Linked DNA regions of Drosophila melanogaster. The gene in region 1 interacts genetically with each later gene. Each region holds a gene or a part of one and is shown on either strand. Other genes may lie near its edges. The genes, in order: RpL27A and PNUTS.

Region 1 (8,985 bases):
AGCCACTTAGAGCTCTCCAGAGCATCGTACAGACGGCGGTCGGCATCAATGGCCTCTCGGTTCAGTTTGTCCACATCCAGGACGAACTTGTGCTCCACCAGTCCGTTCTCATCCTCAGCTCCATTGGCGGCGGAAGCGGTCTGCTGCTGCTGCTGCTGCTCGTACTGGGCGCTGCGTTGTGCGCTCCAGGCCTCGGCGTGCTGGGCCAGAGTCTGCGGATTAGAGTGCGACTGCGACATGGCCTGCTGGTAGTATGCAGCCGCATCTGTGATCGAAGCACCGGCCTGCTCGTAGTAACCTTGCCAGGCCTGGTATCCCTGCCAATAGGTGCTGGTGGGGTCGTAGTACTGCGAGTAGTCGGTGCCACCTGCTGCAGTCATACCGCTTCCATATCCATAGTTTGTGTTGCCTTCGCCCACAGCACCACCCAACTCGGATTTGGGTTTGGGCACGGCATTGCAAATCTTTATGGGCTTGGTACCCAATCCGATGTACCCGTTCATGTCGTACAGCGCTGATTTCTGCTCATCCTCGATGCCAAATCGCACAAAGCCGTAACCCTTGGAAAACCCCAGGCTGTCCAAGATCACCTTGGCGGTTTTGATCGATGTGAACTTGCTGGAGAACACCTTGTACAGCTGATAGTCGTCCACGTCCGAGCTGAGGTCGCCCACCCAGACGCTAAATTCGCGTTCATTCCCGGGCAGCTTGTACGAGTTGCTGGCCGAGTTAAGACGGAATCGCACAATGGGATTGGTGCCCGGAATGGGCTTACCGTTTAGCTTGTGCATCGCGTCCAGCGCATGGTCATCGGATATGAAGTTGACGAAGCAGTAGCCGGCCGGTTCGCCCGTGTACTTGTTGCGCATCAGGCGCACCGTGGTGGGATCTTCGCCCATCTTCCGGAAAGCGGCGATTATGAAGTTCTCCGTCATGTAGGACTCCAGCTGAAATGGCCATGCGGGCTTAAAGGGTCATGTGTCTGGGGTAATGCACGTTGCTACTTACGCTTCCCATCCACAGTTGACAATGCACGGACGCCATAATTGTTCAAATACGTGTTCAATTGAATATTTTCCAGAGACAAATGATGTTTACCAAAACAAATGAGTGACTGGCCGTCAAGCATTTATCGGTATTTATCGATGTGGGCCAATCAAATGCTGACCTGGTGTCAGCCAAGACAATTGCCTTGGTTCTTGTCTTTGGAATGGATATTCAAACGATGCAACTAATGGTTCGCGTCTCTGGTGAGTTAGACGTTATTTTAGTTTGAGCCAAAAAGTAATTTGTTTTTAAAAAACAATAATACCAATATGTAATCCAAGACAGTTTGACAACCCTGCGTAGTACCGACATTTAAATAGACTTACTTCCTGAACATTTCAAAATCGCAAAAGTGGTGCCAAAATGGGTATTACTCTGTTCCGATTGGCCAGTTTTACTCCAAAACTGAAGGAGCTGCGAATCATTCTGGATCCCAAAGGAGACACTTCCAAGGGAGTCAGGTGAAATTGTCATTTTCCGCTTTTAAATTATATAATTTGCTAAAGCAGCGTTCCTTTACAGGGAATACGTGGAAAGGTTCTATCCAAACCTGAAGAAGAGCAATCCCGACCTGCCGATCCTCGTGCGCGAGTGCTCTGGCGTCCAGCCCCGCCTCTACGCCCGCTATGGTGAGTAGATTAGCATAATGTGCGCTGCTAGCTTCCCCCACATCGATTCCCATGTCCGCAGGCAACGGCAAGGAAGTGTCCCTCTCCCTGGCCAACCACGCTGCTCCTGACATACACAAAAACCTGGAAGCGGTTGGCAAATAGAACTTACGCTGGAAAACTATGTAGATTAGGCGCAAAATAAAGGCAAAGCCAGATGCTTTATGCACACATACGTATACGTGTATATGGGATAACATTTACACTTAAATTCATTTTCTTGGTAGGTACATCGATTTCCAATTACAGCAATAGCATCTTTTAGCTACAAAAAGTACGTCAGCCATTAAGTTCAATCCGTGAAGGCGGGCAGCCCGAACTGCTCCGGCTTGAAGTCCGCCAACGAGGCCAGCACTTGTGTGGCGTGCGAGGTCTTTTCCTGGGACAGTCGTGGGTCCGGCACCATCACCACCTGCATTCCGGCGCTGTTGGCAGCCGTCACGCCGTTCGGCGAGTCCTCGAACACCAGGCAGTCGGACGGTTTGGGCGGCACACCGAATCTGCCGGCGGCCACTAGGAAAATGTCGGGCGCAGGCTTGCCGTTGACCACCTCCTTGTCCGACGAACCGCACACCTTGTGGTTAAACAGGGAGAACAGCTCCCGATGTTGGGCCGTCTTCAGCTCGACCATGTCGGCGCCGGAGCTGGTGGCCAAGCAAAAGGGTACCTTGTTGGCGTGCAGGTGACGCAGCAGGCGCTCAGCACCTTGAACGGGGAAGGAAGCACACGATTAACAAACGGCTTTAATCACAGTAGGATAGTAATTGAAGCAGAAGTATTTATAGGGAGAAATGCCGATTAGTTTTCTGGTCGTGGTGCTAACCTTCCAGCAGGGGTACGTTGTGGAATCGCTCGTGGCACATTTGCGAGTACCGCTTGAGATAGTCTCCGGTTGTGATGGGCAGCTGGCACTCGGTGATGGCTATCTCTGCCGAGCGCTGGTCCGTGGTGCCCATTACCCGGAAACGCACTTCCTCCGGATACGGGCGGCCAAAGGAGGCGGCTATTTGCCGGGTGACCTCCTCGTATATCCTCTCCGTGTCTGAAACGTGACGGCAAAGCGAGAACTGGGATTAGTACCTGGCATCAACTGGGCGTTCCGCATCAGGATCTCGGTGTTGGCGCGCTGCTGGCGTGCGTACTCCTCCCACGACATCGGCAGCTCGTAGTGCTCGACCATGAACCGGGCCAGCGGTTCCGTCTGCAGGCCCATGACCTGCTCCTTGATCTCAAAGGGATATGTCTTGCCGTAGGGCTCGAGGATCATTTCGGTGGCCACAGTATAAAGGCGTTCGGTGTCTGTTCGGCAAATAGTTAACACAGAAAGCAGATACAAGCACGGCAGCACTCACCCAGCAGCAGACCGTCCATGTCGAAGACGCAGTGCGTCACCTTTCGCAGCACTTTGTTGGCCATCTCGCAGCAGTTCTCCTCACTCTGGGCTTCCGATTATGTAATGTTACAAAGTCAACAAGTTCGTTTCCTAACTGCAACACAGAGGTCATAATCAAGTTACTTTGTTTTTACTGGAACATCCCCCGCCCACACAGGCATGCCCTCCACTTTGACTACGTTTCCTGGATTCGGTGCCTCTTGTTCGGTCGTGTCCTTGACCCAAGGTCGCCGCACCCCATCACCAACAGCAAGGTCAAAGATGGAAGTTGCCCTCATCCCTACGGCCTTGACCTACACGTAATCTGCTTCCGCTTTTTGCAATATCGGGCGTCTCGTACTTTTCCGCCTCTTCCGAATTTTTCCGCGAGCTTTCTGCCCGCCGCTGTGTGACCGTAGCTGCGAAGGCGCAAAAAGCCTAGTCGAGAATAGTGCTAAAAATGGAGGGATTAACTGATAATGCGCACCGACGCAGTTATACTCTTTAAATTACTATTTATTTTCTTTATATTATTACTGTTCCTCTTAAGTTACAAAAATAGGCATACTTCTAATATTGTCAAACTCATTTAAATTTGCCCTTGTTATTTGATTCAAAATACAAGTTTTCCTTTGCCACAACAAACTAACCATATAGAAATTATTCTTTATAAAAATATAAAGGAAAGTTGTAGCAGGAATAGAAATAGAAAGTTCTAAACAACTTGCGCCAAGCGAGCAGAAAATGAAGCCCCAATACCTTTTAGTAAACACATTTTGTCGGAATAGCAAATACTTGTTTTTCTTTTAAATTTATTAAAAAACAAATACATTTTTGATGGTCGAATGTAGTCCACTTGCTTTTTTCTTCTGTAGAGGAGGAATCTGCAAGGGAAACAATAGCAATTAGGATACTGCACTTCATTGCTTCGCCGACGAATAGGTAAGACAGCTAGACACACAAGCTCACCTTAACTTAGGCGCTCAGCAAGCACACACCGCCGGCCTTCTTGATCTTGTCCTCAGCCTTCTTAGAGAAGTACTTGGCCTTCACGATGACGGGGCGGGCGGGCAGGTGACCACGGCCCAGCAGCTTGTAGTAGCCCTGTGGAGACATGAGAAGGACACCAGAGTCAATACAATGGGTTACAACGGGGTGAGAACGGGTGCACATCCTCTTCAAGAACTGCTGGCTTTGATCTGAAAGGCTGTCCTCTACACGGTGAGAGCAATTGTACGGTAGCATTCTGTCCGCCCATCGCCTTGGGTGTATCTTCATGTTGAAAGCGGCAGCAGAGTTCGCGTAGCTGGATGGGGAATTCGGGCGAAACTTACGAATTTAACCAAGTCGATGACGGGAGCCTTGGTGCTCTTCTCCTTCTCCAGCTCGGCGAACTTCTCGGCTCCGACCAGGGACCAGAGCTTGTCCAGGTTGATCTCGGGCCTGAACTTGTGCTGGCGACGCAGATGGAAGTTCCTCATGCCCACCTTGCCGAAGTAACCAGGATGGTATTTGTCGAAGTTGATGCGGTGATGGTGCATGCCACCAGCGTTACCGCGACCTCCGGGATGCTTGCGGTGCTTGCCGATACGGCCGTGACCGTGGCTCACATGACCACGCAGCTTCCTGGTCTTCTTCCGCTTGATATTCGACTGTAAGGGAGAGCAGAAAAGAAACGTGTTTTCATTGAGCATTCCTCAATCATTTTCACCCACGTGCTGGAGGTTATGTTTACTTGCTCCAGTCGCTATGCTCACTTGGCCATTGCAGTCAGTGGGCAGGCATGCTGCGGCACTTTGAGTGAGCTCTTATTTCTATTCCACATCATTCGCCTGCCCACAAACCACATTTTAGGTGCACCACATTTACCGACGTCCACTCACCATCTTTAAAATTGTAGGAAAGAAAGAAGCGAAGTTGGCTGCGGTTGTAGCAGTGTGACCGCCCGGCGGCGATAACAAAAAATACGAAATACCATCCGGACAGAAAACATATACCCCTAACTACCATTTTAGTCTGAAAAAATATCTCGTACACACCATTATATTTAAGATAAATTTAAGTCTATATGCATTATGAAAATATATAATCATGAATAATTAAACATAATACTGCATATATAAGCGTTAAATTGAATTTCACTACAACAATACTAAATAAGTTTTTACATTCATAGGATAAAACGTGTACTTGATTTAAGCGAAATTCTGTAGGCAGTGCCTATACCGTCATGTGCATAATTTTATAATTTCTTATAGATGATTATGGCTTATTATTAAAGTTCATTTTACAGTTCAATAGCGTTCGGCTTGGCTAAAAAAGGGGGAAGTGTAGTTTTTGTTTTTGAAGTTCGCAATGTAAAAAGTTTTGCGAAATTAATAATCGAAAATGTTGCATTGATATCTGGCTATTAACTGGATTTCTTTTCAAATTCGGGGCGTGTATTCGATAGTTGGTTCAGAGCATTGCTAAATACAGTGCTGTATAACGGTCGTGCTGGCATGTAAATATAACAGGTGCTGTTAAGCACATCGATGTTAATTGCCAAAAATTCAAATATTCACATTTCCATTTGGTTTAAATTTTGTATTTAACAATCTAGATTTCCTCCACTAGACGAAATCGCTGATGCTGATTTTCGGGCACAACATTGAAGAACTTCTTGTAGATGTTCTGGCCCTGGCGACCGGCGTAGTTCCGCTGAATCCAGGTGTGGTCCCAGTTGGGATCGATGGCCTCGCAGGTCACATAAACCTTGCCGTGCTCCATGGCGAAAAGGGTTCCATTGCGGCCAAAGCCCACCTTTCAATGGGAAAAAGTATAAAAATATGCCGGGATAACTCCTTCCTGCGCTACTCACATTCAGGCCCGGATGAAAGCGCGTTGTGAGCTGGGTGGCCAGTATTGTGCCCTCGGAGACGTGGTGCCCATCCTGGACGCGCCATCCGCGATGTTTGGGCCTCGCATGGCCCTTCTTATTCCTCGTACTTCCGCCGGTTTTCTTGCTGGCATTGCGCACGGTGGCTAAATGGGATTGAATTGATTAGAATATGCAACCGGTTCGTGGGAAGTCCTTACTCATCAGCGGCTGGTCTGCCTTCAGGCACTGCATGGTCAGCTTTTGCATGATATTAAACGACATATTTGTGATTTTATTCCAGTAGCGAGGTTTGTTTATGCAATTCCAGATGGGCACCAGTGTGACCCCCGAGTTCAGCTAGATCAAGAGCATTAACAGACTGTTGGCCACTGTTGCCAATTGGTGTTAATAAAATCTAGCTTTGTAAATATATATCAAATAAATCTACGTTTGTATTTTCAACAGTATTATTTATGCTTAAATAAACTATCGTCTTAGTCATTAATATATCTGTCACGTGTTTAGCTAATAATAATTAATATTCAAAAAATTTGCTGTAATCCTGTTATAGCTAACTGGACATCACTGCCGCAAGTGGGTGGACTGTTGAGTTTTGAACCTTCAGTGGTAGGGCAACACTCGCCGGAGTGTTGAAAATTGTCATTGTTTATTTTTTCCGGCATAAGCATTAAGTTTAAGGTTTGCCATAAGTATGACGTCGTGGGGCAATATCTGCCGCATCTGCAGCAGCCCCGCAGACTACGAGATATTCGCCAAGATTCCCACGTATTTGCACGGCTCCACAAACGAGTTTCTCAACTGGCAAAAGCCCATAAACGTTCTGCTGGAGGAGACGACGGGCCTGAAAGTAAGTGACTCCATTCTAAAGTAGCCAGATAAATGTTTATATGAGTGCCTCCTCTTTCGACCGACCGCAGAACTCCACGGACGACGGACTGCCACGCAACATATGTGCGCCGTGCATCTCCTATCTCAAGCATGCCGTCACATTCCGGGAACAGTGCATCAAGAACGCGCTGAGTCTCAAGCTGGCGGAGCTCTACCAGCAGAAGAGGGTCAACGTTTCGGATGCGAACAAGATGGACAAGGAGAGCGCCCTCTTCACGGCGGAGGATCTGAATTATGTGGAGCAGAGGCCAGTGCATAATCTTCTGCTAAACAACAGCGCCAACAAACTGGAGTCATCCAAGGACAAGGTACACAAGCGACTGCTCAATCAGACGACTACCCAGCTAGACGGCAATGCTGAGCAGAAGATCCAGTACTTAAACGTGCTGTTCAACAAGCAGCAGCCTCACAACAGCATGCCCAGGCAACCGCGGGATGGCGAACTGCCATCGAGCAGTGGCCAAAATGACGACGAAGATGACGACTATGCGGTGGCCAGTTCCAGCGACGACAACGAGGAGGCGGCCCTGCTGCGCAAGCACAAGAACTGCTATAACTACACCGAGACCAACTTCGAGGAGGACGATCCCATGGAGCAGGATCAGCTGCAGCTGCGCGACATCAAAGTGAACATACCGGAGCCCATGTGGAAGGAGCGCAAGTGTCCGGCATGCTCCAAACGCTTCATGTTCGAGGACTCGCATCAGTCGCATCTGGACAACTGCGTCGAATACCAGTTCGTCACGTTTGTTACCGAGGTGACCAAGTTGCTCGAGATTAGGCGACAGAAAATGGTCTCGCCGCACGAGTTCATCCGCCGCATGATATTCGCTCTGCACAAAACTTGCGCCTGGCTGCAGGAACATTCCATAGACTCGCTTCTGGCCGAGAAGCTCAATCAGGTGAAGGTGTCCAACGGTGAGAAGATAGCTGAGCCGCCAATTCCCATAGATATACCCGATCCCCGGCCGGTGCAGGAACCATCTCTATTCGACTGTGCCAGCGGAACGACGACTCCGATCACGGAGGAGAACAACGTGCTGTACGCCATTGAGCGCTCTGAAAGTTGCCATTCCCAGGGCACGCCGACGGTGAAAAAACCCATTCCCATTCGCGGAAAGGCGGCGCTGGGAATCGGGCTGGACAAGCACAGGGAGAGAGCCACGTTCCTCGAGAAGCTGCAACGGGCCGCTGTCTCTCCTGGCACAGTTTCGCAGGGTCCAGCGCCCGTTTTCTCAGCCCGCTGCGGGCAGTGCAATTTAGAATTTGACTCAGTCTCCGAACTGGAGGTGCACAACCACAATGCCCACAGGGGCAATGAACTGAACGCCGACGACGAAGCCAAAAGGCGTCAAATAATCGCCCTCTTCGAGGATGATATTTAGGTTTTACAAAGTCCTGTTTTTCATGCCGGTGGCTCAATCAAACTAGTAATCATGTTGACCACTTTGCATCTGTGTTTTTGTCGTATTGTATTTATTTATTATTTATTTATTTTATTCTGTTTCCATTAGTGATTTAGTTTTGCTTAGCGGCAATCCATGTTCATTTACAATACATTCTCGAGTACTCAAAAGTCCGTGGCTTTATATTTATATGTACTCTAAGACCAATAAAGAGATTTGCAAGACTTATTCTTAACCATAAGCCTATGCGTATATTTGCAAGCTATTCAGTACCAGGTTGGAATCTGCTACCTTCAAGTGCAGACAGTTCTTGAGCAAGCGCATCGCGTCCAGGTTGAGATCTGGATCTCGCAGAGCGAAGAGCTGGTTTAGGGTTTGCACAAGATTCTGCGGGTCTGCCAGTGCGAATATTAGACTTGTGTCACCTAGGGCTACCAGATTGGTCATTACACGCACGGCGTAGATTAGGCACAGCCGGTCGGCTGGCGATGCTAAGGTGGCTTCAAAGAAACGCACCAGGCATTCGGCCTGTTGAGCATCTAACTTGTGCTCCTGTGTCACTATTTCCAGTTGGTGCACTATGTACATGAAGTACTCGCTGGCAGGCTGGCCGTGGAGCTTCTCAGGCAGATTCTGGCCAATGTACCTTCGATCCTCGTCACTCACATGCTGCGGGCAGCGGGTGGCCACCAGGGAGAGGCAGATGGCCGCATCTTCTTGGCA
Region 2 (13,267 bases), 3.6 Mb from region 1:
CTCAGACCGCATTCCGATTCCAAGCCTCCACTAGCGTTGGCATACACACTCCAAGCGATCCGCACATGGCCGCAATTATTCTCAAACTTTAACATTTCGTTGTTGGCTTGGATCAGCATTGGAATTCAAAAATCGCGCTACTTCCACTTCCCCAGGTTCTCCTCTAAGCTCGGTGTCTCCACTTTGACTACACAGAGAATATCTTTGGATAGTTTACTTCCGATTATATTCATCTTATTTGTATTAACAGCAGCAAATTGTATTGCATTGTAGATGTAATAGAGAGTAATTGTAGAGTAATAGCTCTTATCTTCAAAAATTAGGCCAACTATGGTTCTATGTCACAGTAACATTCTTTTCAACACTCGGATAAATCTCTCTTATTTTTTCTGTGTAGCCAGTGAACACACCTGCAAAAGACACACACACACACGTAAAACTGAGATTTGCAAACACACTTTCTCGCTCCCTCTCGCTCTAACCCTCGCAGACTCTATCCAAACCGCTCCCTCGACTCAAGTGACAGCAACAACTTTTCCGCTGTTTTAGGCTGGGCTCAGACGCCGACTGCGACGCGGGCAGCGGTGTCGCATACCTATCTACACTAAGCAAAAATCGCTACTGTTTTTATAAAGATATTGAAAATCATTATAATAATCCTATGGCGAGAAAGTCTCTAGAATGTAGTTCTAACCATTTTTAAATGTTAACAACATTTTCCATGATAGAAACACCCCCAAGTTTGTCGATTGTTTTCAGTGTATCAATCCAGCAGTGTCGCAGGGTCAATGGACAGGGGAAAGGGGGTGTTGGGTGCTTGTGTACTTGCAAACAGGTGAAAGAGAAACTGCAGAGGGGGTCAGCTGGAGGCACTATCTGCTTACGATCTTGTACAAGCCAAAATCGCAGTAAACAAACAAGCGAAGTGCACGTAAAAAAGAAAACACTGACCCACTACACCCCTGGAAATGTTTTGTTTTCGTTAAGTTGCGCCGCTGTGTTATATTTCAGCGTTTTACTGTTCGTACAAGCCCCAAATTGCATCACACTTGTGGAATTTGACAGATTTGTGTTTTCGCTCCTAACTCTACAGCAGCTTAGAGGCCAATGACGAAACGCGATAAACATTATCGCACTTGGGTAACATGGAAATAGTTGGGCTTGCATAAATCATGCTTTAGAGAAAGTACTAAAGCTGCTGGGTGATTTGAAGTTAAGTTAAGTCATCATAAACATCTACAAAAACATTATGCTAAATGAAATACATATATGTTTATAATATAAGTATTACTACTTTTGTACTTCTATAATCTTGAAATATTTGCAATCCACACATATGTATCTATGCATCTGTAAATAGGGGAAAATTATAAGCCTCGGTAAGGCAATCTAAGATACATAACTGCACTGGTATCTAAGAACTCCCCGACAAGAACCATAAACCTGGAGACATGCCCCAAGCATAGCTTCCATTCAGGTGAAGATAATTAATTGGGTCCTGATAAGCGTGAGATGGGGTGTTAGAGCCTCAAATAATTCAGACAGCTGGGATTTAGATAAAACGGCGGCGTGCGGTACACTTGCTTTTTTATTTTATCTCGCATACTTTTTGGTTTACGAAGCAAATGGCAAAACAACAAATGACAATAGTTGTTTTTGCTGTTCTTTGGGTGGAAACCCGCTCGTTAGATGGTGGTGGGCTGGAGGGGGGTGGAGAGACATCGACACCCCGATCCACACTATTGTCGTCCCCCTCGCGCGCATGCGTGGCAGATAAGCTGACGTCTTTGCTTGCGCTGGTGTGTGCGGCTTGAAAAGGTATTTGTCTCCGTGTCTCGAGCCCCCCGGCACCCGCCACCCCCTCGCCTGTTGCTGCAACTTTAGTTTTTGACCGACCGCATTTTTTAAGCTTTCTTTTCCACCTGTTTTCCGTTTTCCTCTCTCACTGTGCGCTGTTTATATTCCACGAGCCTCTCTCAGACACACACACACACGTCGCCTATAAGCCGCACTCACACAGGTGAGGCTTCACAGTAATGTGCGAGCGCGGATATACAGTGGACCCTCAAATAAGTAATCTAATTGAAAATAACATCCTTGAAGCTCTTTAGGCAATTATTTAAATTAATAATCTAACCAATTTCAAATGATTGAACTTAGTATATGTTCCAGATTTCCCGCAATCGAGTATTACTTCACCGACGCATTACTGTATGTACAAAAGTGGGAGCGGCGGCAGGTTTCGTATTGATTTTCAATGCTTTGTTCAATTCATTCACTAATTCACAGACACAGGCTCAATTCGCTGTATGTATTATTCTAATTGACCGCATTTTCCGGTGAAATGTGTGATATTCATATGTATGTGTATACACTCCCTTCGCACACACACGCACAACACACAGGTATCGATATCACGTTAGCATTTCGATATCATCCTCTCACCTAGCAGCACATTCTTTTTCTAATTAGCACGAATAATCCAAGTCTCTGTCACGTTTGCTTGGCATTTCAACTGGCTTTCGGGCTTATTTTCGGGTTTAGCTTCGGTTTTAGGCGTTACAACTGCGATCACTCGAGCATTGTTTCAATTTTAATTCAAACATTAAAAGTAACTGTAGTCCAGCACTTAATCCTCTCTTCTTCTTCCACCTCCTTATTACCTGTCTTCGCCGTTCTCTCCGTCCTTTTCTGGCAGCCGCCGCCTTTGGTCTAGTGCTTTCTCGCTCCTCTTTGATTTTTATTTTTAAGACGGCTTTCTTTCGCTCCGTTCTTTTTGATTCTCACAGACCGTTTTTCTATTTTCTATTTTTCTGTCGCTTGCGGAAAATAAACGTACGAATAACAATAGCCCCGCGACGCCAATGTTGTTGTTGCCGTGGCTTTTCAGATACTGTTTTTGTTGTTATTGTGGAACGCACGCGAGCGTCATCCGCTGTTTAAGCGCGGTTAGTACATGTCAGTCCGGTACCAGAAATCGTACTAACTTGGCTCATTCGCTGGCCTTTTGAGTTGTTTGTATATATTTGTATTAAGCCACTTGTTGAGAGAGTGCGACAGAGAGAGAGAGGGAGAGAAAGAGATCTCTCTCTACACTAGCGGGCACCGCAATAGAATCAAAATTATTGTATAAGTATTTAATTTAATTTTATTACAAGTATAAGGTATTCAGCATGTTATATGCTGAATTAGCATTATGTATCCATTGCATTTTTGGAGATTGGCTTTTAAAAACAACTAGAATTAATACGAGTTCGTCCCCACAAACTTTTCATCCCATTAGTAAACCTTAAGATTTCTATTTACACGTTGCTCAGAAAATCAATTTTTATTGAATAGGTCCTACTACTAATTAAAACTAGGAAAACTATCAGCTGCTCCTCGCCTTCTTGTTGGCCTTGATCAGCTTGGCCTTCAGGGCCTTCACGTCCACCTTGCTGGAGGAGGAGCCATCCTCCTTCTTCCGACTTGAAGCAGCTGACTCCTCCGTGGGCGGGACAAAGTCCTTGTTTCGGCGTTCGTCCTGGCGCTTGGCCGCCTCCTTCTGCTTTTCGGTGCGCTCCTGGTTGCGCTTCGCTTGCTTCTGCTCCTGGTTGAGGAAGTACTCTCCGCTGGCCAGCTGCTTGTCCACCTTGCTCTCCGGCTGGCTGGGCGGGAATGGGGTGTACTCCTTCTTTTGCTTCTTGACCTTCGGCTGCTTGCGTTTGCTAATGTTTTTGTTCTTGAACTTGGGCAGGAATCGGGACCAGTCCTCGTTGGCCAGACGCGGATCCTTCATCAGCTCCCGCTTGATCATCAGAGCCTTAATGTTGTATATGGGGTGCACATTGTTCATGGTCTCCAGGACTATATCCCGCACCTGCTGAAGGCCCTTGTAAGGACCCAAGGCGGAGACTGTGTTTCCTTGAACCAAAACGTAGCAATCGGTGAGCAGTTCAATGGACTTAAGGGTGGCGCCGTTAGGTCCGATCAAACGCTGTCGCCGCTTCACGAACTTCTCCTTCTTGTGCACAAGGTTTCCGATTTTGATGATGTCACACCCAATGTCGTCCTGCAGGACCCGCTTGGCCTGCTCGAAGGGAACACTTCTGGCCATCAGCTTGATCATATCCCGCGCCTTGATGATGATGTAGGGATCCCAGGTCTTGCGACTGGTCTTCACCACCATGCTCCCCTCCATCAAATCTAGCTCCGCCTTCAGGTGGTGCTCCGCCAAGCACTGCTCCACCAGAGGCCAAACCTCCTTAAGATAGCGCTCCCGATATTTGGGAAACAGCGTGGCGAAGGAGCTCTCCTCCACCATCCCATGCGGGTTGTCCTCCTGCCTGAAGGCAGGGATCTTCATGGACCACGCATTGTCCACCGGCTCGGTGCTGATTTTGGTCTCCTCCGCTTCACTTTCGCTCATCGTTACTCGAGTTTTCAGAAGCTAATTCTACAGGTAAGATTCTTGCACGCTTGTTTTGGCCAGGCTGCCAGATCAGCGGTAAATGCGTGTGACCATATCAGGGAAAACTGGTTGGTTAATATTATTGATAGATTACCTATTTAAAGGTTTATTTTTATCTTGATTATAAAATAAATTTTTCGATTGAGAATGTTTTAAAATATATATTCAAATACAATTATATTTGATCGTGTGCCAGATAAATGCCTTAACAAAATTGCGATTCCAATGTAACTCAAATATTAAGGATATTGGGTACATCAATACTAATAAAATATGCAATTCTGAATATCTAAAATATAAGAAATAAGTCAAACAATACATGATTTAGCCCTGACACCTTCACAAATTTTATTTAATTGAAAAAGAGCTCAGGGTATCTATAACTTATGCCATTATATGTGTTAGAATAATTAAGATGAATTAAAATCTTAATTCAATAAATTTCTTTTTATAGCATTCGCTATTATCCACCGTGGATAGTTTTTGAAACTGTTAACGGGAAACTAAATCCATTTATATTAAAAGTGTTTTTAAGTAAATAATTATTGTTTGTACTTTCAAAATAGGGGTATTAATTAGATTACCATATTCCGACTATGCGTTTTGGTATTTTCTAAACAAACTTTTATTTTCAAGCAAGGAAAGGTCACACGATTTTGTGAGCCTAAGCAAAGCGCACGCAGGAGTTTTCGGAGAGATAGAAAAATCGTCGCCAATTAAATATTTAACAAATTGTAAGGCCGATAAACAATTGTACATTTAATATATATTTTCTGGAAGGCTTATTACCGATTTGCTCGACCTAAGTGTGCGGACCTAACCGCATGTCCAATTTTGGGGCGTGGACGTGAACGAAAGCCGATAATTAGGATTAAACAAAGAAAAATCAATATAAAGTGGCCGATATTGTTGAAGTTGCTATTAAAAGACAATTTTCTAGCATTTCCCTTGGCTGCGGATTTAATTACGCCTTTGTGAAAAATTGTGAAAATCAAAATGGCGTCATTGTTGTGTGCGTGGCAAGGCGCTGCCAACCTGCTTTAACAGAAAAACTAAGTAACTTTCACATTTTGCTTGTACCTAAAGTCAAATTTGGGTTGTAACCAAAAACGAGGTAGAGAGACATTTGTGCTACAAACGTTCAGACGAACGCATGTTTTCGTATCAATACCAATACGTCGTAATATATAATTTTCGGTTTTCTGAGAGTGGACAGCCTTCAGGGCTGCACTGGCTTATCGATTACCGATAGCCGCGAGCACACGTCCGAATTTCATCAGTGCCTGAAAAAATCGCAACGCGTAAAACACGTTTTCTGCAGCTCCAAAACAAAAAACAAAACATTCAAGCGGAGGGATTATTGGTTTACTGCCAGTTGAGACAATAAAATAACAGCATTTATCATATTTTGGCGCTGCTGCTGGAATTTATTTAATACTCGTCTTAAAAGTGAATTGTAGGGATATAGCAAAATTTTATCCTGCTAAATTTGTTCTCAGACTGGTGTTTTCTCCTATTTTAGATACTATTGCAGTCCTTGAAAAAGCGAATTCTTATGGAATTACGTAATCAGTGGAAATTTAGTATCTATTAAGACACCCATACCAACAAAAGCGAGTGTCGGTGCACACACGCACGATCCAACACACGCGCACACGTTGCGTATGGTCACACCTACAAGTGTGGAAGAGAGACGGCTATAGGGAGTTAGCGTTGCCAGATAAATTTTCTTCTTTCGCACGACTAACAAAGAAAATGGTGAGTTATATTGGCTAGGAAATGCAACAACAGTTGTGCTTTATTTAATGTTTTTATTCGACAGCCTCGTATAGTTCCACTGCAATTGCTGAGGTGCCTGCGGGTGCTTTTGGACAATAATGGTGGAATTTTAAGTGCAGTGGAGGTGAAACGCATTTCGGGGTAAGTTCACCACTTGTCAGCAGCGACACCTATCGGCGTTTGCTAATATCAAGTTTTTCGCCCACAGTTTGATGGCCAAGTATTCAAAAAAACTCGTCTCGAAATGTGTGTATGTACAAATTCTGAAATCCACAAAGACGGAACTATTGGGCGACTTTATGGCGGTGGGCGGTTGGTCGCTGGTCTACACCTGGTTAAATGATGCCATCAGGGCCATGAACTGGCCGCTGGTACAGGAGATCCTGGAACTGCTGCTCCTTTCTCCCGTGGATGTCAATCGCCTCAAGATAAACTCAGCACCTATTCTGGTCAAGGGGCTGTGCAAGGATGGCGGCAACGAAGGTAAGTTTTCTTTGATAAGTCTTACTCTAGTCGTAGATTAGTGTTTTTGGGTCATGTTTTGGGCTGTCCTTTATGCTTTTAATTACCTAGGGATTACTAATTGGCTTTTCTCGACCCCGTTTTCCAGGTGTACGCATTCTAGCCAAGCGTTTGGTAGAGCAGTGGCTGAAGATTGTGACGGAAAACACAAGCATGACGATCCAAGGTGCTGCGCCACATATTGCAGCCACTACTGCCTCTCAGGTTCCTGCATCCGTTTCTGGAGCTGGCTCCGCTTCAGTTCCGGACTCTGCCTCTTCTTCAGACAGCACTGATAGCGCCGGAGCACCTGTGACGTATACCATCACCTCGGCGGCCAACAGTAGCAATTCCAACAGCATTACCATCAAGTGGAAGCCTTTGTTGGACAACCCAGATGGTGGCGACGAAACGGATTCTGGCACACAATCGAAAGACAACGAGGTGGAACATCTGGAAAAGGGCTCCTCCGCAACCCACTTATTAGCAGATGCTAGTCTGGGGAAAAAGTCCGGGTTAGATGATAGTAGCTCCGCGGCGGAGGTTAAGTCTGGGGAGGACGTGGATAATAAGAAGCATAAGAGCTCAAAGAGCGACAAAAGTAAACGGTCCGAGAAGGAGCGCGAGAAGGATAGAAAGAAGGAAAGTTCAAGTCATAGGTCCTCCTCATCTAGCCATAAGTCGTCCTCTTCCTCGTCATCCTCCTCTTCGAAGAGCAGTTCTTCCAAGAGCTCCTCATCTTCTTCCTCTTCCCATCGCAGTTCTAGCGATAAATACCGCGATAAAGACAAGGCTCGCTCAAGTTCCGGCTCCTCCAGCTCGAGCAAGGACCGGGAGCGCAGCAGCGGTTCGTCTTCTTCTTCCTCGAATAAACACAAGTCCTCAAAGTCCTCCTCGTCGTCGTCGTCGTCGTCGTCGAGCAGCTCTGGTTCTAGTTCGTCCAAAGATCGCAAGTCGTCGTCGTCAACTTCGTCATCATCCTCATCCTCGAGGCAGGACAAGGACAAGGACAACAAGCTAATGCCTCCGCCAGCTGTGGCAGCATCAAATGCTGCAGGTACATCTCCTACAGCTTCGGCAAAGGAGAGCGACGCACAGAAGCCCAGATCGATTCCTATCATGTCCCGCAAGGCCTCCATTTCGATAGAAATTCGCCGGGACACCGAAAAGACGGCCACTGTAAAGACGTACCAGTCCAAATTCAGATCGCATGGCCTGACGGAAGAGGCTCCGCCTCCCCCATCTCGCAAGGGCCTAAAGAAGCCCACATCGTCGGCGGTTGCCGCTTCACCCGCTTTAATGGCAGTCCCGTCTTCACTGAAGCGACCATCGCCGCCACCCAGGGATTTGTCCACCGACAAGAAGGCCAAGATCGACATCAACAACGTCGCGGGACATGTGGAGAGGCCCGGAGCCGCCAAGCTGATAGCGCCCAAAAAGAGTAAGCAACAGATGCTAGAATCACTATTAATGCTCTTCTCTATTTTATTCCACAGCCCAAGAACTTTGGTGGCTTTTGCTTTTGTTTTCGATCGGAGTCGAATGTCGAACTCCGCCGTATTATTTGTTGATCTCCATTCCATTCTCAAGGTGTTTAATTTTGCTTGGGGCGGGTCTTAAATTGTAGAGCAGAAGTGGGGCCTTTTAGTGTGGGTACTTTGCATTATAATGTATCAATCGTGGCGGTGTTATCCCCGGATCGAGTTTGAACTGCAAGCTGCCCGAGTGTGAGTCTATGACCTCAATTCCGGATGACGGCGGATGAAGTTGAATGGAGTTGAATCCCGAAATCTGGGCACTGCGCATGCGCTGAGACCGAACGAAAACGAAATCTGAGGCACAGACGATGCCGCCGCCGCCGTCGTCGTCGTCGTTGTCGCTGCCTGATGTTAAGTATTCAAACCTCAAATCTTGAACGTATTTAGCTTAGCTTAGCTATAAGGTATGTAGATTCACTTGGCGAGCAGCCCACCTTAAAGACTTACAAATAAAATACGGTTTCCTCTAGAAAAATACGATTTTTCTATTGAATAAAAAAATGCATTGAGCGCAAAAGAAACGAAAACGAAAATATTGACTTAAGCTGGCGGTTCTATAAGTTGGTAGGTGGTTCGATCACCACCGTGGGCTTGAGTCCCAGCTGCTTTGCTTTGGCCTCGATTTTGCTGTCGTGCGTCACCGAGGGTCTCCACAATTGTTCGCCTCGCTAGAGCAGGCAACCCTAGTTTACCCACATCCTCGTCGTAGTGCGTCATCAGCGGATGCGTCACCTTGGCAGTAAGCTGCACGGTGCGCGTAATCTGATCGCAGTGTCGGGTTCCTTGGGTAGATTAGTGCTGAGGAAACCCAATGACACTTATCGATGTGCTGACATAAATATACTAAAAGCATCAAAGTTTAAAGAGGTTTAACTATTGCGTATAACTAGTAGTCTTAGCAATACACTTTTAATAAGCGTACTTCTCAAGTTTCAATCGCAATGAGAGCTTATAACTATTTTAATTATGATGATTAAACACTATTTGTGTTGAAAAACTAGTTAAATAAAAAAAAGTCGAATAATTACATTTTGACATTTATATATGAAATTATACCGAATAAAGTCGAGCAAGCCAAAACTTTTAAAGAACTTTTGGGGAAAATTCATGAATTGTTTAGTAGTTCTAGGTTTTGGTATATATTCGGTGCTTATTCCAGTAGAGAGACTCCCATTTCATTAATTATCGAAATGTGGGTAAACTTAATCAATCAATCATAAACACAACAAATGTGTGTGTCCAGATCAGATTGTTTCTTTCCATAACTTTTTTACTTCTAGCAATTTCCAGCAAAAGCAAAATCCACCAAAGCCAATGGGCCATTCAACGAAGGCCACTTAAACATTTTCTTAACTAAACCAATTACTGGAGCGATTACTTACTTTACCCTCATTTTTCCAGTTCAAACCCTGGTGGAGACCAACCTGTTCTCGGACGCCCTGGCCGCCTCCATCGAACCCAAAAAGGTGGTGAAGCGCAAGCGTACGTCTGCAACATCGCCCACGGACAAGGACGCGCCACTGGCGCCGCTTAAGTTCTACCAGGATACTCTGGACGAGTCGAAGAGCGAGGAGAAGTCGGACGACAGCAGCAAGGAAAACGATGATGCGCGCTCCTCGTCACCTGGCAAGGACACGGATGCCGATGACGACGACATTCCCCTTAAGAGGGTCAAGGAGGACATCGAGCAAAAGGTGCAGAAGGCGAAGGCTGCGGCAGGCGGAGAAGGCGGAGAAGCGGGTAACACCTCTGACAACGCTGAAGATCTTCCCGAGGAGCCCAAGAAGCCTGGACCTGGCTGTGGACCCGATGGACCACCGGGAGTGCTCACGCTGCACCGCCGCAAGGGCCCGAAAAAGAAGCTAACCTGGCAGTCAGAGGAAAAGCTCACCCAGATACGATACTTCGAGGTCGATCGCTCAGAGCGCGTAAATGTGATGAAGCAGACCTTCCTGGAAATGAAGAACATGGAGCGATTCAGCGAGCGGGACGCGCTGACCATTGCTCGGCGTGGATTCGACGATACCATGGAGCCGCAAATGGAGTGGCGGCCACTACTCGAAGTCGATAATGTGCCCGACCACCCGAACGGAAACCTCTCCAAGCAGCGCCAGGTGCAGATGGACAGGGAGGCCACCACTCTAAGAGCCCTGTACTTCTCGCCCGACATGATTCCCGACAGTCCTGCGGAGGCGGAACTGGAACCGCATTTTGCTCATGACATTCCCGTGATACCCATGGATGACCTGACGGGGAATCCGGATGCTGTCAACGACTACAGTGCCTTGGCGTGGCCGGAGCCCAAGAAATACGCGCCTAGCTCGGGAGTCGGAGCAAATATCAGCGGATCGGACATGGGCTTCAATGACAATATGTTGACCGGACTGGGAGCTGGACCGAACCTAATGCAAAATCCATTCGATCCGTTCATGGGAGGCATGCCTGCTCCCACGGGAATGCCACCCGGACCAAACATGATGCCAAATCAAGTGCCCAACGGAACGCCGCAAATCTGGCAGAACCAAATGGGTCCGGTAGGTGGGCCGCCCGGTGTACCGCCCATGATGAACGGACCCGGTGGCCCCGGAATGGATATGAGCAATATGAACATGAACAACATGCCACCGCAAAACTTTATGGGCAATCAGTTTGGAAGTCCAGTGTCTCCATTCGGAAGCGGCCCACCACCTGGATTCAATCAGTACCCGCCCATGATGATGAATGGACCAGGTCCGGGACCGGTAATGGGACCCAATGGTCCAGTGATGGGACCCAACGGCCCCATGATGAACGGCCCACCCAATGGACCCATGATGAACGGGCCGCCCAATGGAATGGGGCCAGGACTGATGATGGGCGGACCTAGGAATAACAACAACAACAACAACAGGAACAAAAACAACGGCGGCGGCATCTGGCGCAGCGGGGGCAACAACTTCCAGGAGAACTCCGGCGGCAACTGGCGCTCAGCAGGATCTGGCCCCAATCGAGGAGGTGGAGGAGGCAATGGCAACACCGGCGTCTGCAAGCAGTTCATGCGAGGACACTGCAACATGGGCAAGAACTGCAAGTATGTGCATCCGCAGAAGAAGCGCTTGTAGGACCTACCCGAATCTTCTGCGGAAGATTCAGCTGCATAGATCTCAGACGCGCAACGGAGGCCAAGATTTCCGAAATCGAGTCCCCACATGAAGACTGTATCCAGGTTAGCCGCCGCAAGTTAATCTAAGTGTATATATGTATTCGGTATATTTTTGTGTAGACGCAGTCTATCCCTAAGTTTTTAGCCTAAGATCTGGGTTCAATTCCCTGCCCCGCTAACTTTATTATTATGCTGATTACCATAAGGTTAAATATTTATAAGTTTAAATTTACACAATTAAATATCAAGTCATATGATGCAAAGCCAATGCAGTTGATTTATTTAGTGAAACGAATTGAATGCACTTTTAGAAACGATACTTTTGAAGTTTTAGTTATTAACATAGTTGAGCCAAACATTACGTTTGCCATTAAACCGAACAAGATGTTTGCTGCCGGGTGCTGAAATCGATGTCTGCAGAGGGTATGCCATCATCATGCGGTGCTTGCACTTAACCTGAAACTTTTGTGGCTTCCGTTTCCAGGCCCGCGACCCAGAATTGACTTTCTACTCGTATAGTTTCCACAGTCCAGTCTTCGTTTCAGTTACGTGTATTTCATCAGCGCGTTAGGTCCGTAAAATCATGAAGTCATTGCTCAATCGGATAATCCTGTGCAGCGCCTTTCTGGCCGTGGCCAGTGGTCTGAGCTTCACGGTCACGTCTCGGATCTACATGGATGTGAAGCACAACAAGAAGCCGGTGGGCAGGATCACGTTTGGACTGTTCGGGAAGCTGGCTCCCAAGACGGTGGCCAACTTCCGGCACATTTGCTTGCGCGGCATCAACGGGACCAGCTACGTGGGCTCGCGATTCCATCGCGTGGTGGACCGCTTTCTCGTCCAAGGCGGCGACATTGTGAACGGCGACGGAACTGGCTCCATTAGCATCTATGGGGACTACTTTCCGGACGAGGATAAGGCTCTGGCGGTGGAGCACAACAGACCCGGTTACTTGGGCATGGCCAATCGGGGCCCGGACACCAATGGCTGCCAGTTTTATGTGACCACCGTGGGCGCCAAGTGGCTGGACGGAAAGCACACCGTTTTCGGCAAGGTGCTGGAGGGAATGGACACCATCTATGCCATTGAGGATGTGAGTATTCAAGCAAACCGGAACCACAATCGTGGCTTAAACGCATAGCCACCACACAGAAATGTAAGAAACTTTTTCTGACACATTTTTCGTTCCAGGTAAAAACCGATACGGATGACTTCCCCGTGGAACCCGTGGTGATCTCCAACTGCGGCGAGATACCCACGGAGCAGTTCGAGTTCTACCCGGACGACTTCAACATCCTCGGATGGATCAAGGCGGCTGGTCTGCCCGTGACCAGCTCCTTCTGCGTTCTGCTCATTTTCCACTACTTCTTCCGCCAGCTCAACATGTACTGCTGAGGACTTTGGAGTATAAGCTTTATTACTGCACATAAGACTAAGAAGCCCCCATACACTCCGAATGGAATGAAACCCACAATAAATGCATACAAATCTTAAGGACTTCACTAGGATACGAGCACGGCCTTCAGTAGGATGGGAAGAGTCGGTCCCATGTGCAACTGTGGGATACGTGTTAGCATTTAAGGATTAGCTCAGCTTATGTCAGTGTAACTTACATCGATGAAGAGGTAGTCCTCCACGTGCTGATCCTTCTTGTAGAACCGCGACTCCGGCTTAAAGAGCCCAACCATGGTCACGTCCACTCCGGAATAGTTGGACAAGCAGCCTGAGAAGATCTTGGCCAGCGTGAAGTGGTGCTTGTGGTCTGGATAAACGGAACGGTTCAGGCTGTTGTAGTATTCCTCGATTAGGCGTCGGTCCTTGGGCGCCAGATCCCGCTGGTGCTGGACCATAGTGTCC

The links.
Region 2: of RpL27A (region 1) and PNUTS, changing one suppresses a phenotype caused by changing the other (phenotypic suppression), as found in Drosophila melanogaster (one study listed by BioGRID).

The regions. Positions count from the first base shown.
Region 1 is NT_033779.5:4,453,319-4,462,303, forward strand, and holds RpL27A (ribosomal protein L27A), read right to left. Parts: upstream 5,047-8,985; 5' UTR 4,974-5,046; coding exon 4,971-4,973; intron 4,740-4,970; coding exon 4,422-4,739; intron 4,357-4,421; exon of another isoform or gene 4,285-4,356; intron 4,192-4,284; coding exon 4,063-4,191; 3' UTR 4,057-4,062; intron 3,972-4,056; 3' UTR 3,868-3,971; downstream 1-3,867. Other genes in the region: Secp43 (tRNA selenocysteine associated protein), read right to left, coding at 1-947, 1,009-1,044; ND-B8 (NADH dehydrogenase (ubiquinone) B8 subunit), read left to right, coding at 1,411-1,508, 1,570-1,676, 1,738-1,820; Gs1l (GS1-like), read right to left, coding at 2,008-2,420, 2,796-3,014, 3,068-3,131; mRpL27 (mitochondrial ribosomal protein L27), read right to left, coding at 5,686-5,889, 5,948-6,111, 6,166-6,214; CG15435 (uncharacterized protein), read left to right, coding at 6,660-6,815, 6,886-8,241; CG15443 (uncharacterized protein), read right to left, coding at 8,506-8,985.
Region 2 is NT_033779.5:865,369-878,635, forward strand, and holds PNUTS (phosphatase 1 nuclear targeting subunit), read left to right. Parts: upstream 1-5,096; 5' UTR 5,097-5,184; exon of another isoform or gene 5,185-5,972; 5' UTR 5,973-6,205; coding exon 6,206-6,208; intron 6,209-6,272; coding exon 6,273-6,370; intron 6,371-6,437; coding exon 6,438-6,712; intron 6,713-6,839; coding exon 6,840-8,171; coding exon of another isoform or gene 8,172-8,350; exon of another isoform or gene 8,351-8,781; intron 8,782-9,669; coding exon 9,670-11,369; 3' UTR 11,370-11,670; downstream 11,671-13,267. Other genes in the region: dbe (dribble), read right to left, coding at 3,371-4,408; ninaA (neither inactivation nor afterpotential A), read left to right, coding at 11,994-12,503, 12,602-12,805; CG15824 (uncharacterized protein), read right to left, coding at 12,913-12,966, 13,024-13,267.